3 linked regions of the Oryza sativa Japonica Group genome follow. The protein of the gene in region 1 binds, or shares a complex with, the protein of each later gene. Links are inferred from orthologs where the notes say so. Each region holds a gene or a part of one and is shown in the gene's direction. Other genes may lie near its edges.

The links. Proteins that work in one complex are often made in the same cells at the same time.
Region 2: SNW/SKI-interacting protein A-like (region 1) and heterogeneous nuclear ribonucleoprotein 1 share a complex: the UniProt entries of both Arabidopsis thaliana proteins name them as parts of the spliceosome. The link is inferred for Oryza sativa Japonica Group from reciprocal best matches to the Arabidopsis thaliana genes SKIP and AT4G14300.
Region 3: SNW/SKI-interacting protein A-like (region 1) and U1 small nuclear ribonucleoprotein 70 kDa share a complex: the UniProt entries of both Arabidopsis thaliana proteins name them as parts of the spliceosome. The link is inferred for Oryza sativa Japonica Group from reciprocal best matches to the Arabidopsis thaliana genes SKIP and U1-70K.

The regions. Positions count from the first base shown.
Region 1 is NC_089036.1:32,489,716-32,494,828, reverse strand, and holds SNW/SKI-interacting protein A-like, read left to right. Parts: upstream 1-1,831; 5' UTR 1,832-1,932; coding exon 1,933-3,756; 3' UTR 3,757-4,188; downstream 4,189-5,113. Other genes in the region: protein CURVATURE THYLAKOID 1D, chloroplastic, read right to left, coding at 31-178. UniProt on the Arabidopsis thaliana protein: Splicing factor involved in post-transcriptional regulation of circadian clock and flowering time genes. Associates with the pre-mRNA of PRR7, PRR9, ELF3 and GI, and is necessary for the regulation of their alternative splicing and mRNA maturation.
Region 2 is NC_089044.1:18,095,704-18,100,514, forward strand, and holds heterogeneous nuclear ribonucleoprotein 1, read left to right. Parts: upstream 1-1,858; 5' UTR 1,859-1,973; coding exon 1,974-2,195; intron 2,196-2,272; coding exon 2,273-3,445; 3' UTR 3,446-3,867; downstream 3,868-4,811. UniProt on the Arabidopsis thaliana protein: Involved with pre-mRNA processing. Forms complexes (ribonucleosomes) with at least 20 other different hnRNP and heterogeneous nuclear RNA in the nucleus.
Region 3 is NC_089044.1:1,015,235-1,020,437, reverse strand, and holds the start of U1 small nuclear ribonucleoprotein 70 kDa, read left to right. Parts: upstream 1-1,959; 5' UTR 1,960-2,043; coding exon 2,044-2,145; intron 2,146-2,245; coding exon 2,246-2,360; intron 2,361-2,520; coding exon 2,521-2,600; intron 2,601-3,313; coding exon 3,314-3,389; intron 3,390-3,470; coding exon 3,471-3,535; intron 3,536-3,634; coding exon 3,635-3,697; intron 3,698-5,203. UniProt on the Arabidopsis thaliana protein: Mediates the splicing of pre-mRNA by binding to the loop I region of U1-snRNA.

The DNA.
Region 1 (5,113 bases):
ATCAAAAAAAATCGTGGCGCGTTCGGGCACCTCGAGTCGGGAGGTGGCGGTTGCTGCGGCGGAGGGTGGCGGCGGCGGCGACGGCGGGAGGAGCAGCGCGGCGGTGGTGGAAGGAGGAGGCGAAGCATAAGGGGGCGGTGGCGCGCGCGGAGGCGACGGTGGAGACGAAGAGCTCCATTTTTTTTTTCTCTTCCTCGGCTTTCTGTGGAGGCCCGAGAAGGCTGGGGGTTTGAGGTTTTTGTGAGCTGGGAGGAGGATGAGGGTGGTGGTGGGCTAGTGGCTCAGTGAGACTGTGCGAGTGAGCTGTGCACTACTACTACTTGTGCTGATGCTGTCCGAATTTTTCTTTTCTTTTTCTTTTTCTTCTCTTTTTTCACACACCCTGATTTTTTGTTTGTGCTTTTGGAGGGTGACATGTGGCGCTTTCTCTTTTGCTCGCTCCTTTTCTCTGAGTACCACCTGTGTGTGTGGTGTGGTTTCGCATTCTTTGGATGGATCTACTTTCATTTTCATTCTTCTTTTTCTGGTACAATTATACTCCCTGTAACTGTAGTCCTGTACCATGCAATTTAACTGTAGCATAATTCGTATTCTAGAAGATTTTGGCCTGTTAAAATACAAACAAATTGATAGTGTCCGTAGTACATGTGGAGTAGTATGTGCTGCCCATTTAGATCGAGTTGTCTGGGTACTTCCACGCCACCATTTTTTCCAAGTCCATAAAATATTTTCTATTTATTTTAGTACGGCAGATTTTCATTCGCTAGCCAACCATAGAACTGACACATTACATAGGCACTTTCTCTTTTTCCTGGGATAATACATTAACATTTGGGGTAACATTTTCTAGTGGACCAAAAATTTTGTCGGCTGGTAACACGGCCTTTGAGAAGGCCCAGTACTGCAGGTATACCATTCCGTCCGGTCTCCAGCCCGCTTCCTTACGTTGTACTTAGTAGGATAATTTGGGCTGGCACAGTAAGTAGGCCTAGCATTTTCACCGACCACGCGCGTGGGCCTGGCTGGGTGGTGACAATGTGTGTCATGTGGAGCCCAAATTGGCAGATTAAACTCGTGTTAGCAAGCGAAATTAATGGGCCCACTTGTCAGTCTCATTTATTCTCGTTAAACAAACAGGCAAACATTCCGAGCCGTTAATACCGTAGCCTCGTTACTCGTTACTCACTCCGTCCAAAAAAAAATAAATCTAAAATATAGAATGTGACATATCCTAGTAGAACGAATCTGGACATATGTATGTCCAGATTTATTGTACTAGGAAGTACTATGTTGGTTTTTTATGAGACGGAGGGAGTAGCCATTACCCGTGCAGACAAGCATGGCTCCGTTCGAGCAGGAGAGATTGCTGGGAGATTGAGGAGAAAACATCTACTTTTCTACGCGCACACTTCCCAAACTACTAAACGATGCGTTTTTGGCAAAAAAAAATTCTTTTGAAAAGTTGTTTTAAAAAATCATATTAATCTATTTTTAAAACTTACAATAGTTAATACTCAATTAATAATACACTAATGGCTCACCTCACCTTATTTTGCGTATCTTCTCAATCCCCTCTTTCCTATCCTCTCAGGATTCAACCCAGTTATCATCATCACCAGTATTAATAGTTTCCAGCCCAAGGAATTATTTTGTTTCGGACTAGAAGTCTCAGACACGATGGTATTTGCTTCGGATTGGCTAAGGATTTGGTGCATATTTATCGGCCCAGCCCAAATTCTTATCGGGCCTAGCCCATCCGGTAGCCGCCATAACCCCACCGGCCACCGTGGTCAGCTTCTCTTATCGCGTTGCCCAAATAATTACACGAATCGAACCAAACCCTAGCTTTTCCTCTTCGATTCCCGATCCCCCACCCAGCGACTCGCCGGAACCCTAGCCCTAGATCCCGCGCGGCTTGCCGCCGTGCTAGCCATGGCGTCCCTCAAGGAGCTCCTCCCGACGCCCAAGGCGGCGGCGTCGACGTTCTACGACCACAGCAGCGACCCGTGGTTCAAGGAGCGGTATGGCGGGGAGTCGGCGCAATCCGACGCGGCGGCGGCGGCGGCGAAGCCTTCGGGCCCCGCCAAGCCCGTGCCGCCGTACGGGAAGCGTGGCGGGTTCGTGCCGCGGCGGCCGGAGGACTTCGGGGACGGCGGCGCCTTCCCGGAGATCCACGTCGCGCAGTACCCGCTCGGCATGGGCCGGCGCGACGAGAAGGGCGGCTCGAAGATCCTCGCGCTCACCGTCGACGCCAAGGGCAGCGTCGCCTTCGACGCCGTCGTGAAGCAGGGTGAGAACGCCTCTAAGATCGTTTACTCAAAGCACAGCGACCTCGTGCCCAAGATTGCCACGGCTGATTCCGAGGCAACCGCGGACGACGAGGAGTACCAGAAACAGATCGAAGAAACCACTGAACGAACTAAAGCTGCCTTGGAGAAGGTTGTCAATGTTCGGCTCTCCGCCGCACAGCCCAAGAATGTGCCGACGCATGATTCAGAGTCAAAGTTTATCAAGTATAAGCCATCGCAGCAATCGGCAGCCTTCAATTCAGGTGCCAAGGAGAGGATTATTAGGATGTCAGAGATGGCTCAGGATCCTCTTGAGCCACCGAAATTCAAGCATAAGCGAGTGCCCCGCGCTTCTGGATCACCGCCTGTCCCAGTGATGCACTCGCCACCACGGCCAGTGACAGTGAAGGACCAGCAAGATTGGAAGATTCCACCATGCATTTCAAATTGGAAAAATCCAAAGGGTTACACCATACCACTCGACAAGAGGTTGGCAGCTGATGGAAGGGGGCTGCAGGAGGTTCAAATTAATGATAACTTTGCAAAGCTCTCTGAAGCACTGTATGTGGCGGAGCAGAAGGCCAGGGAGGCAGTACAGATGCGATCCAAGGTGCAGAGGGAGCTGCAGCTGAAGGAGAAGGAGAGGAAGGAGCAAGAGCTAAGGGCACTTGCACAGAAGGCGCGCATGGAGAGGACTGGTGCCCCACCTGCACCTACAGGGGTTCCTGCTGGTGGTGGTAGAGGTGCTGTTGATGACAGGGAGGAAGATATGGATTTGGAGCAGCCTCGTGAGCAACGAAGGGAGAGTAGAGAAGAAAGGGAAGCAAGGATTGAGCGTGACAGGATTCGTGAGGAGAGGAGACGTGAGAGGGAGAGAGAGAGGAGGCTGGAGGCCAGGGATGCTGCAATGGGCAAGAAGAGTAAGCTCACTAGAGACAGGGATCGTGATGTCAGTGAGAAGATTGCCCTGGGCATGGCAAGCACTGGCGGTGCTAAAGGTGGGGAAGTCATGTATGACCAGAGGTTGTTCAACCAGGATAAAGGAATGGACTCTGGGTTTGCTACAGATGATCAGTATAACATCTACTCCAAGGGTCTCTTCACAGCGCAGCCAACGCTATCCACACTTTACAGGCCTAAGAAGGACGGTGATTCTGATGTGTATGGCGATGCAGATGAACAACTGGAGAAGGTTATGAAGACAGATAGGTTCAAACCAGACAAAGGATTTTCTGGTGCTTCAGAGAGGTCTGGAAAGAGAGACAGACCTGTGGAGTTTGATAAACAGGAGGAGAATGATCCCTTCGGTCTTGATCAGTTCTTGACTGAAGTGAAGAAGGGGAAGAAAGCTGTTGAGAAGATTGGAAGCGGAGGAGCCATGAGGGCAAGTGGTGGATCCTCAATGAGAGATGATTACGAGGGTGGAGGATCTGGGAGGTCCCGCATTAACTTTGAAAGAGGTCGTTGAGGTATTAGATCTGCATGTTTTGTTCAGAAGTTTCTCCATGCATTCCAAATGTTATCTGGAGGGTATTCTGTTGAGAATATCAACTTCTTGATGAGAGGACTTGATGTCTGAGTTGTCTTAATGCAACGTCTACTTCCAAGGGGCATCTTAAGGAGTGTACCTGTTTAGATCCTGTGATTATGCTTGTTGTTTATCTATTTGTGGATGGATCTGTAAGCTTAACTTATCATCATTCCATATCCCTTATATTTTGTGGTGCTTTATGAAGTCTCGATGTGTCTGGCTGACCTTACATTTTCTGGTACTGTACCAAGTCTTTAAGATGTATCTGCCTATCTGGCTGAAATACTGAGACACGGGATACATATAAATTCCGTGTTCTGTTTTTTCACAAGTTCTAATTATTTCATGCTACCATGATTGTTGGCTGGATGGATTTCTGGGTATTGCCAATATCGGTATGTTGTTTTGGGGATATTCATGTTTTGTGCAAATAGTGAATTCTTCGAAAATTTTTTGTCGGTAAGCATTTTCTGTTGCAAGACTTTGCCGGAGCATTCCCTTTGCTTGCAGTTGATGTGGTTTCTGTAGTACCAACTTTCGGATTAAATAACTTCTCTTTTGTGATTATTACTGGTAAGATCATGGCATAATTTTAAAACACTATCCATCCTAAAATAAATAAACTTAATACATGATATGATATATCTTAGTATTAGAATCTGAACAGATACACACTTTCAGTTTGTTTTGTCTTTTCCTTTAGTTATGTAGATTCAGCCATAGTGTTGTGTTTTTCTTCAGGTATGCAGATTCAGCTATAGGAAATTAGGAACACAGTGAAGAGGAAAGTTTTCATTAGCACGTTTTCTTGTGTGAAGCGCAAATAACAGGATTTTGGTGTTCTTTGATTTTGGCCAAAATCTTCATGGCATGGATGGAATTTTCTCAAAGCTGAAAACCGTAATTTTCTGACGGGCTGAGCAAATTACGCTGGCTGATAACTCCGGCCTGCTTAATGCCTAGGCCCAAACGAAGCAGCCGAGCAACCTTGAGGTTCCATCGGCACCCCTGTTCGGCTACAAAAAGCACCTCACTTTCTTCCTTGCTCATATCTGAGCCCAAGATCCTGATGCTACTCTTCCCAGTGACAAAGAGAACCTCGGTCTCTGACGAATTTTTTTCATTTTTAATTTTTTTCTTTTAATATTTACAGAAATAATCCATCGGCGCAAAAAATTACAAAAATAGACCCCTGCCGCCCTCCACTAGGGCGGCAAGCTGACGTGGCAAACGGGGGAGGGACGGGCGGTGACGGCAGACGGGAGAGGGAGGGTTTTTTTTGCACGAAAACCCT
Region 2 (4,811 bases), on another chromosome or scaffold:
GCTTACCCACGTAGTGAAACAAGATCGGACTACCTAAGGTGGAAGGATGAGCATGAACGTCGAATTGCTGCTGAGGCTTTAGAATGGCACGTAAATCCCCTAGGACTCCCCACGTGGCGTGAGCGTCCGGAGTGTCGTTGTGGTGACCGTTGTCAGGTCATAAGGTCCGTAAGGCACCGAACTCGAGGACAAAGGTGTTTCGTGTGTCCAAACATTGTCGACGATGATTTCGTGGTAATTACAACTATTCTTTTCATCACTCCTCAGTACTATCATTAACTTAACTATCCCATAATGGATGTACATAGGAGGATGTAAGGAAATGTCAATTCGTACAATGGATTGACACAGTCAGAGTTACTTCAAGTGGCGGGCTGATAACGCAACCTGAACCGACCATACAGTTCATTCATGTTTGGATGGAGTACGAACGTTGGGTGGAAATTGCAAGCTTAGACTGGAGGACCAATCCATTAGGGTTACCTAAATGGTCCGAGCGTCCAAAGTGTGGGTGCAGAGATCGCTGGCAGGTGGCTACATCCTTTGCTGAACAAACATTTCGAAGGAGATATTTTGTCTGCCCCAATGTAGACAACGATTTCGTTGTATGTCTAACCATTTACAAAATCCGCTATGATTTGCACAAAATTACTACCCAAACTGAATAACATTACTATTTTTACAGGGCAATCCAAGGATGGGTGGATTTACTCGATGGATCGACAATGTCACTCCATCATATCATGGCCAGAAGATAACATAGTCAGAAACACAAGTAGAGTATCAACGATTGAAGGACCACGAGAATGCAATGCATTCTGACCGACCTAGAAGGTGCCGATAGGTTACCGCATGCTTGATTCGTCGGGATCGACAAATTTGTACCGTGTATCGATGGCACTTCTTATCTATCTTATCATTACAATGTTTAATTATGGTGGTGATTTTTTGTATGCGTAAGACTAAGGGCCTATTTGGATTGCTACCAAAAACATGCCCTACCAATATTTTGGTAATTTGAATAGTACTTGTGTTTGATTTCGATTGAAGCCTATTCATTGGTAATACGTAATCTAGATTTGAGATTATGTAGAACATTCTTCACTACAATTTTACATTTTGGCAGCAAACCAAATATGATCAAATGCAATTTTACCTTACCAAATATTTGGTAGTGCCAAAACTTGCTTATATTTTGGCACTAACAAAATATTTGTACGGTAACATTCCAAATAGGCCCTAAAAAATAATAAAATTGTATTTTACCAGTCTTGGAGATTTTAATCTTGTATAGTTTTCAATATAAAAAGATTTGATAACTATTGATATTTATAAAAAATATAAAGCACAGTATAAATTCGCCCTCCCCCAGGGCGGCAAGGGGGCCGCCTGCAAAATTCCAGGCCCCCCGCCGCCCATTTGCAGGCGGCCCCCCGCACAGTACAAAATCGCCCTAGCGGAGGGCGGCAAGGGGGCCGCCTACAAATTTCGTTGACGGCCGTCGCCCGAGAGCGAACGGCCGTCTGCCACGTCACTTTCGCCGCCCTCTGGGATGGCGATTTTTAAAAATCGCCCTCCCAGAGGGCGGTAGGCGACCACTTCTGTCAATTTTCAAAATGAAAAATTATTTTTTGTAAAACTTTTAATAAAAAAAATTAAAAATAAAAAAAATTCGAGTTCCTACAAGCTCGCACCAAATTCGGCCCATAGAAAGAACAAAAAAAAAAAACCCCAAAAAAGAAGCCCACAGAGAAGAACAAAAATAACCCGTCTCCCCCACGTCCCCACCCCCCACACGACGCGCCCTAAAATATCCCCAAACCCTCCAAATCTCCGCCCCCCACCTCCCCTCCCCGACGCCGAAATCCCCCAAATTCCACCCCCGCCTCCTCCTCCTCCTCGCGTCGCGAGAGAATCCGAGGCGCGCGAGCGAGAGGAAGGAGAGAAGGTGAGAGCAGCGGCGGAGGGAGGAGATGGAGTCGGATCAGGGGAAGCTGTTCATCGGCGGCATCTCGTGGGAGACCACCGAGGAGAAGCTCCGCGACCACTTCGCCGCCTACGGCGACGTCTCCCAGGCCGCCGTCATGCGCGACAAGCTCACCGGCCGCCCCCGCGGCTTCGGCTTCGTCGTCTTCTCCGACCCTTCCTCCGTCGACGCCGCCCTCGTCGACCCCCACACCCTCGACGGCCGCACGGTATCCCCTCTCAAACCCTAGCGAATATTCGCGTTGGATTCCCTCCTCTCAAGGTTCGGTTCGGTTCGGTTTCGTAGGTTGATGTGAAGCGGGCGCTCTCGCGGGAGGAGCAGCAGGCCGCGAAGGCGGCGAACCCTAGCGCGGGGGGGAGGCACGCCTCCGGTGGGGGCGGTGGTGGGGGAGGCGCCGGTGGTGGTGGTGGTGGCGGCGGTGGTGACGCCGGCGGTGCGCGGACGAAGAAGATCTTCGTCGGCGGGCTGCCCTCCAACCTGACGGAGGACGAGTTCCGGCAGTACTTCCAGACCTACGGGGTCGTCACCGACGTCGTCGTCATGTACGACCAGAACACGCAGCGGCCGAGGGGGTTCGGGTTCATCACCTTCGACGCGGAGGACGCCGTTGACCGCGTGCTGCACAAGACCTTCCATGACCTGAGCGGGAAGATGGTGGAGGTGAAGCGCGCCCTGCCCAGGGAGGCCAACCCTGGCTCCGGCAGTGGTGGCCGTTCCATGGGAGGCGGCGGTGGGGGTTACCAGAGTAACAATGGGCCGAACTCCAATTCTGGGGGCTATGATAGCAGAGGTGACGCTAGCAGGTATGGTCAGGCGCAGCAGGGTAGTGGTGGTTATCCCGGTTATGGTGCTGGAGGATATGGTGCTGGTACGGTTGGTTATGGATATGGGCATGCTAACCCTGGAACTGCGTATGGGAATTATGGGGCTGGAGGATTTGGAGGTGTTCCTGCTGGGTATGGTGGGCATTATGGCAATCCAAATGCGCCTGGTTCAGGTTACCAGGGTGGTCCTCCAGGAGCAAACAGAGGACCATGGGGTGGTCAAGCTCCGTCTGGTTATGGCACTGGGAGTTATGGTGGCAATGCAGGCTATGCTGCTTGGAACAACTCTTCTGCTGGAGGTAATGCACCCACTAGTCAGGCCGCTGGTGCAGGCACAGGCTATGGGAGCCAGGGCTATGGATATGGTGGATATGGAGGAGATGCATCGTATGGTAATCATGGTGGATATGGGGGTTATGGAGGAAGGGGAGATGGTGCTGGCAATCCAGCTGCTGGCGGTGGATCTGGGTATGGTGCTGGCTATGGAAGCGGGAATGGCGGTTCTGGTTATCCAAATGCTTGGGCTGATCCTTCACAAGGTGGAGGGTTTGGGGCTTCAGTCAATGGAGTGTCTGAAGGCCAATCAAATTATGGCAGTGGTTATGGTGGTGTGCAACCTAGGGTTGCTCAGTAAATGAGGCCATTAGAGCATCTATGAGATGAACCAGCAAAATTGGGCAGTCTATGTATGTTGTGTTACCCTGGCCCCTCTGATTGCTTTTGGCCTCTTGAAGATCTCCCATTTGCTGGTTAAATCAGTATTTCTCCGGGTTGGAATGCTTGAACCTTTTGCGGCTTACTACTAGAATGTAGTCAATAACTAGCTTCTAGCTATACTATGGAGTAGCTGTATCTTGCGTAATGCTTTATTTAAGTTTAGCCTTATCTGTCGGTGTGCTTTGTCATGAGTGGAATTTCAGTTGCTTCGTCTCTAGTTTAAAGCTAGAGTAGCTTCACTACTTATGGACAACAAACTATCTAGTTGTACCTTTATTCTACAGAATCATATGTTTGTGGTTGACAGTAGTATTTATGCTGGATTGTGCTTTACCTGAATCTGAAATGTTCTATCTTTGGTTGTTTCTCTGTGGTGTGCTCTAGCTCACCTTGCAGTTAAGGTGCTGTTGCGTATTATTCCATTAATATTGATTGTAACAGATGACAATCCTCAAACTTCTATGCAGTGATAGAGGTGTTTTATACTGTAGCTGCTTCTAGCAGTAAGTTCAGGTGTAGTGCAAGTGCTTTTCATGTCATTGGAATGATATATCATTAAAGTATGTGGTCGAGCTATGAGTATGTTTCTGATATTTGGTATGTAGATGGATAAACAAGCATAGTAGAGGCAAACAATTAGCCCCTACCTGAAGCAATAAGAGCATATTAGCAGCAAGTTGGTAGCGCCAATTTCTAAGGTAGTATAGATACAGAGAAGTCTGTGATACTACTTGATGAATGAAATACAGGTAGAAACCATAGAGTAGAATACTCCAGGCATTTGGCAAGCAAAATAATCATCCTTCCTCGTACATTTCCTTTCTGTACAGGTTGGATGCGATGCCATTTCCTTTTAGAGCATGTCCAAGTGGGGCCTTTTGAATCAACTGCCTGGCTGCCTGAGAAATGGCAGAGACATCGACTGATTTTGCTTGATGGGCTGACGATTTCCAATCTTGAAGCATTTGACACAGAAAGCAAGCATCTTGTTTTTAAGCGCTTCATTTTCTGAAGGATCTTGTGCTGTGCAACAAGATGGTGGTATGTGGAATCATGTTTCACTTTCAGTTTTATTTGGAAAAGAAAAGCATTTTCACCATGGTACTTGTACCAGGAAAGTTGTTCAAGATGCTATCTGTCCTCATTTTCCGTTCAATTTAGTAAATGGTATATTATAGTTGAAAGAAAGCATTACCAGCTACCATAGGAAGTATTATGTTTTCATTCAAAATCTTGTCAATTTTGGCCAGAGTTCCATCCCCAATGTACAGATCGACAATGGT
Region 3 (5,203 bases), on another chromosome or scaffold:
GCCATTGCAGAGGAATTCAAATGCAGCACCACTGATCTGTACTCATTTCTCTTGACATAGTTTTTCGCCATTAAGAGGAGCTGCTTCAAGAGAGATGACCTCTGCTTTTGAGTTATACGGTGCTTCCAATTAATAGTGATTACCAAGCAACAAATTTGTGGGGAAAAAAGAAATATAAAACAACTGCATTTCTCTGTTACTTATGGTCATATTTATCTGTTTAAAAAGCAAATAGCATTATTGATCATCACTGATCTGGTATATCAATTTGTGGTGTACCATAAGCTAGCATGATTTGCTTCAAAAGTTTAGCAAAACAAGTTAAGCTTGGAAGCCACTCATTAACAAAAGAAGCTGGTTGTTTCTATTTAGCAGGCTGACAGGAACATGCTCCATTTCATGGTTTTGCTAAATGAAGTGCAGTTGTCAAGAGAAATCAGTGCAGAATGGCAAGGTAGGATGCGATTATTCGATCAGTGCAGAGCCAATGGAAGCAAGGCTGGGGCATAATCTCTTCTAACTGTTTTTCCATTCTTTCCCCTTTCGATTGTAAACTCATGGTTGACACATATATGTACAGTTCAGATTTATAAGTTGCAGCTATGCCTTTAATGGATGAAAGTGGGCATATATGTAATTTTGAGATGGTTTTAAAGTGAGTGATTTATTTTCTTGTGCTTGGTACAAACTAACAATATGCATGTAAGAAAGGTTTAGGATAGGGTAGATTTACTCCAAAGCTGCTTGCAGCAGATAAGTTTACACTACAATATTTAGCCGACAGGTTCATGGGCAAGTGTTTGTGAGTTTTTTGGTCCAATTTTTCTAAAATAATAGGCCAAGTCTTTTATTCTTAGATGAAAAACAGGCTTTCCCTATTGTCTTCTGAGGTTTAGCTTAAAAAAGCCCACGAGTTCATGAAAAGGTAGTTGTCAGAACTGAGAGGTATATAGCCTTCCTTGGCTTGCTAGCCTTCAACCTATCGTTAGGCAGTAAAATGGAACGATGGCCAGTTCTATATATTATGGCTCTGCTGTGCTTATACCATTTGTTATTGGAGCATTTCATCCCTAGGTCTATAGCAGCGCTCCTCTTCATATCCTCATTCCCATGTGCTCATGAGGTATGTGCGTCGATTTGCATCCAAATAATATCAATGATGGACGTTTGGTAACTAAATGTTAATTCTTAATTACCACAACTAAAATATATGCCGTTTAATTGCAATCAGGTTGTCCAATAAACTTGAAGAAGATATAGGTAAATGGAAGCCTGATGATATCATGCAGGTAAATAAAGGCCTGATAAGATCAAATCAAGTAGGAATTTGTATTTTTTTTACCAAAGATTAAATCAAGTGGGAATCTCGTTTTTTTTCCCTTAAAGTGCTTATATGCTAATAGGGTAGATTTAAGAGGACGTCACGGGCCCAATCAGGCATGCGAAAAATCACGCGTGAGGGTGTTGCGGGCCCAATCGCAGAGGAGCACAGAGGCGTATGTGGAAAATGAACTCAGGCGCAGGTCTGCAAGCGGCAAGGGGCACGTAAAAAGGTGCATGCCTAATTACTTCGTACGCGTATGATTTAATAGAAACATAAAATTAAAACCTATTCCAATACAGATGATGTACCAAAATTCTAACGAAAACATCTTCAATTTTTATAATAGTAGAGAAGGGATTTGCATCATCAAATATCGCCGTAGCGTTAGCACGGGCATTTTACTATTTATAAAAAATGTGACACACGATTATAGCCCCCGTGATTCAATAGCGGCAGCAAAGATCCCTGCAACGCTCAGGCAGCAAAAGCATACACTAAGTCACCGACGCATGGGCCCGTGCGAGAGGGCGCTGACGTGTGGGCCCCACATAAAATTCTTCCGTCTCGGCTTCCCCCTCTTTTTACTTCTCTCTCTCCTCCCCTAATATCCCGAGAGAGAGAAAGAGAGATCCCCCAACGCTTCGCGAATCGCAAATCCCTCTCGCTTCTCTCTCTCTCTCTCTCCTCGCGCCGCCGCCGCCACCGCCGGCGCCGCGGCCATGGGCGACTACGGCAGCGGGATGATGCGGGGGAACCCGGACGGCGGCGGGATGCAGTCCCGCACCAAGGGCCAGCGCGTCAACGTGCAGCAGCTCAAGCTGGTAAGCCCCCACCCCCCCCCTAAACCCTAGCTGCTATAACCCTAGCTCCTCTCCGGATCCGCCTCGATCTGAGATCTCTCTCCATGGCTCGCGACCACAGATGGGGCAGGGACACCCGACGGGCCTCACCCCCAACCTGCTCAAGCTCTTCGAGCCCCGCCCGCCGCTCGACTTCAAGCCGCCCGTCGAGAAGCGCAAGTTGCCGGCCTACACTGGTATATTCCCTCACCCGCCTCATCTTCTATTCTATCTGTTCGGTTCTAGGGGGATTATGAATATATTTTTTTCTTTTAATTTTGTCTGTTAGATTTATTTTGTGGATGAGTTGCTTCCTGATGGATGGACTCACTCTTGTTGTTGATTGGTTGGTTGCAGGGATGGCGCAGTTCGTGTCGCAGTTTGCGGAGCCCGGTGACCCTGAGTACGCGCCACCCGTCCCCACATGCGAGACCAAGGTATACTGATACTGCTGCAAATTTGTTTTCTGTATCAATTTTAACTCGTTTGAAGCGCAATCGTTAGTGTTGCATTTTGTTTTATGTCTCCGTAGTGCAAGATGTTCCTACTTCTTATGTTGTCGTGACCATGTCGTATTTATGCCAATGGTATACTTTTCGTGTGGCCATAACCATATTGCATAGTTTCCACAACCATATAGTTGCTTTTTTCAATCGACAAAATCAATTATTTGTAATGGTGTCAGAACGCTTGCTGGTCTCTGAACAATCAGGATTTCTTAAGACTGTTAGTATTAGTATGTGAGCTTCTATGACTACACCTGCTGGAAAGTCACTCACAATTTGACTGTTTGAGCATTGTTCCACTATAGTCAGCACAGGAAAATTAGGTCCAATAAGTTCTACCTGAAATTGCGAGGTAAGAGTTGGAGTCAAATGTTCCCACCTCTGAGATGAATATTTCCACTTTCACCACATGAAAACTCTCTCAAAATAAGACATGTGTAGCTGTCCAAACATTTGTTTGCCAAAATTCTTCTTCTGGTAATTGTATGTGACTATGTCAAATACGCAGCTTTTTGTTGGCACTACTGGCTTTACTCTTTTTTTTTCCATGTCTGTTATTGTTTCTAGATCTACTGTATTATTCGTGCCTATTGTCATTTCATCATTCCAGGTCATGACTTGGTGATTATGTTTTATTTACGCAGGCTGAAAAGAAGGATAGGATCCGCAAAAGTAAGCTTGACCAAGGTGCGGCTAAGGTGGCTGAAGAGCTTCAGAAATGTAAGTTCTTTCTTAGCTGCTCTTCCCTTTGTATCATATGATAGATACTGATAACATCATTGGTGTGGTTTCTTAATGTAGATGACCCACAGAGTGACCCCAATGCCACTGGAGATCCATACAAAACACTCTTTGTTGCAAGACTTGTAAGTTTTTTTGTTGCATCATTCACAAATTATTTTGAACTACATAGTTGGTATTATTTTTGTATGTTACTTCCTATTGACTCCAGCAAACGTTTACAGAACTATGAGACGTCTGAGCATAGGGTCAAGCGGGAGTTTGAAGCTTATGGGCCTATTAAAAGGGTAAGTACATGTGGTAAATTCCAGTGCAGGTGGACTTATTCCTCTTTGGTAAGGTGTTTGGTTGTTCTAATTCATCTACAAAAACATGTTTTAAGAAAAAGCTGGTTCACTGCCATTATATATTGCTTACTTGGAATTTCACAACAAGGTGCTAAAGGATGAAAGGGATATCTTCTATCTCTCTCCGATTTTCAATGGGCAGAATTGTCTGTAGTATTTGTTTCTAAATCAAACAAAATGCTGTGAAGTCTTCTTTTTTGTAAAGAACAAAAATAAGTTATTCTGTCAAGTCTTTTTTTTTGCAGCAAACAAAAATAACTTCTTGTTTTTGTCAAACAGTATTCATAGCACTCTCATTTTCAAGTTGGGCAATACATTCACTGTTTTGTGTGTAAGCATGCATTTGCTGTTTGCTTCTCAATAATGATGTTGGTTGCATTTTGCTAAACCAAGGAGAAAATAACCAAATAATCTTCTCAAATTATTTAAATAACACTTTTATCTTGTATTGACATGTATTGGTTTGGGTGGTTCGGACAGTCTTTTCTTTGTTATCCATTTCTAAACATGTGGGCTCTGTTGATGTACTTAGTGGATAAGTAATATAGAGCTCCAGCAGAAATTATGTCTTCTGGTAATTTTTGTTAGACATATTATCTGAGTTACTGTTGAGCAATTTAATGTGCGAATGGTTGGTACAACCATTAGAAGACTAAAAAATCCTGGGAAATACAAATACACACAAGCAGGTATTTTTACTGCATGCAGCCTTGATGTTTTTTTTTCTTAGAACATCTTTTCCCTTTTACTCTCGGAAAAGATCAAACCATTTGCTTCTGCAGTAGGCACAATGTATCATTTGTTTTCCCATTCTATGAACTTGCTTCTCGTGTGTATTAACTGGAGCAAACAAGCTTGAAGAATGTTGGCGATGGCACAAGTAAGCTTAGATCACTTTATGCTTTTAAAAGCAGCTTATCTGCAGGCATGGGGTTTCTACATTCTGGGATTTATTAGGTTGCTGGTGAGTACAGTGTTTATGTTACTTTCCCTGAGCTGTTAAAGCTAGTTCTGCTTTCAAGTGCTGCTTCTCTTGGAGGAAACAACAGCAAAATATAATGCAAATGACATCTCAACTTTTAGAGTTGAAGATGGCTCCATTTTCTGATGCGTAACAGCGTAAGGAATAGACATCACTGACTTGCTATTTGTCACCTCCATTTATGTAACCGTTGTCTATTTTGATGGTCTTACCGACGAAGGCTGAACGAACTATATGCAATGGAGAGGGTAAATGGGTATTGTATTTAGTCCACCACCATCTTCTTTTCTTAATCTAGTAAATTCCCTGGTAAGGGGGTATCACTGTATTTCCCACAAACGCCAATCAGCCAGACTGCTTTTTGCCTCCAACTGTGTTGATCTGTGCTGGATTTCACTCCTCGTAATGAAGGATCTACATATGCAAGGTTAGCACGGCTGTTTTAGGCTTTATGCCTGTCTGTC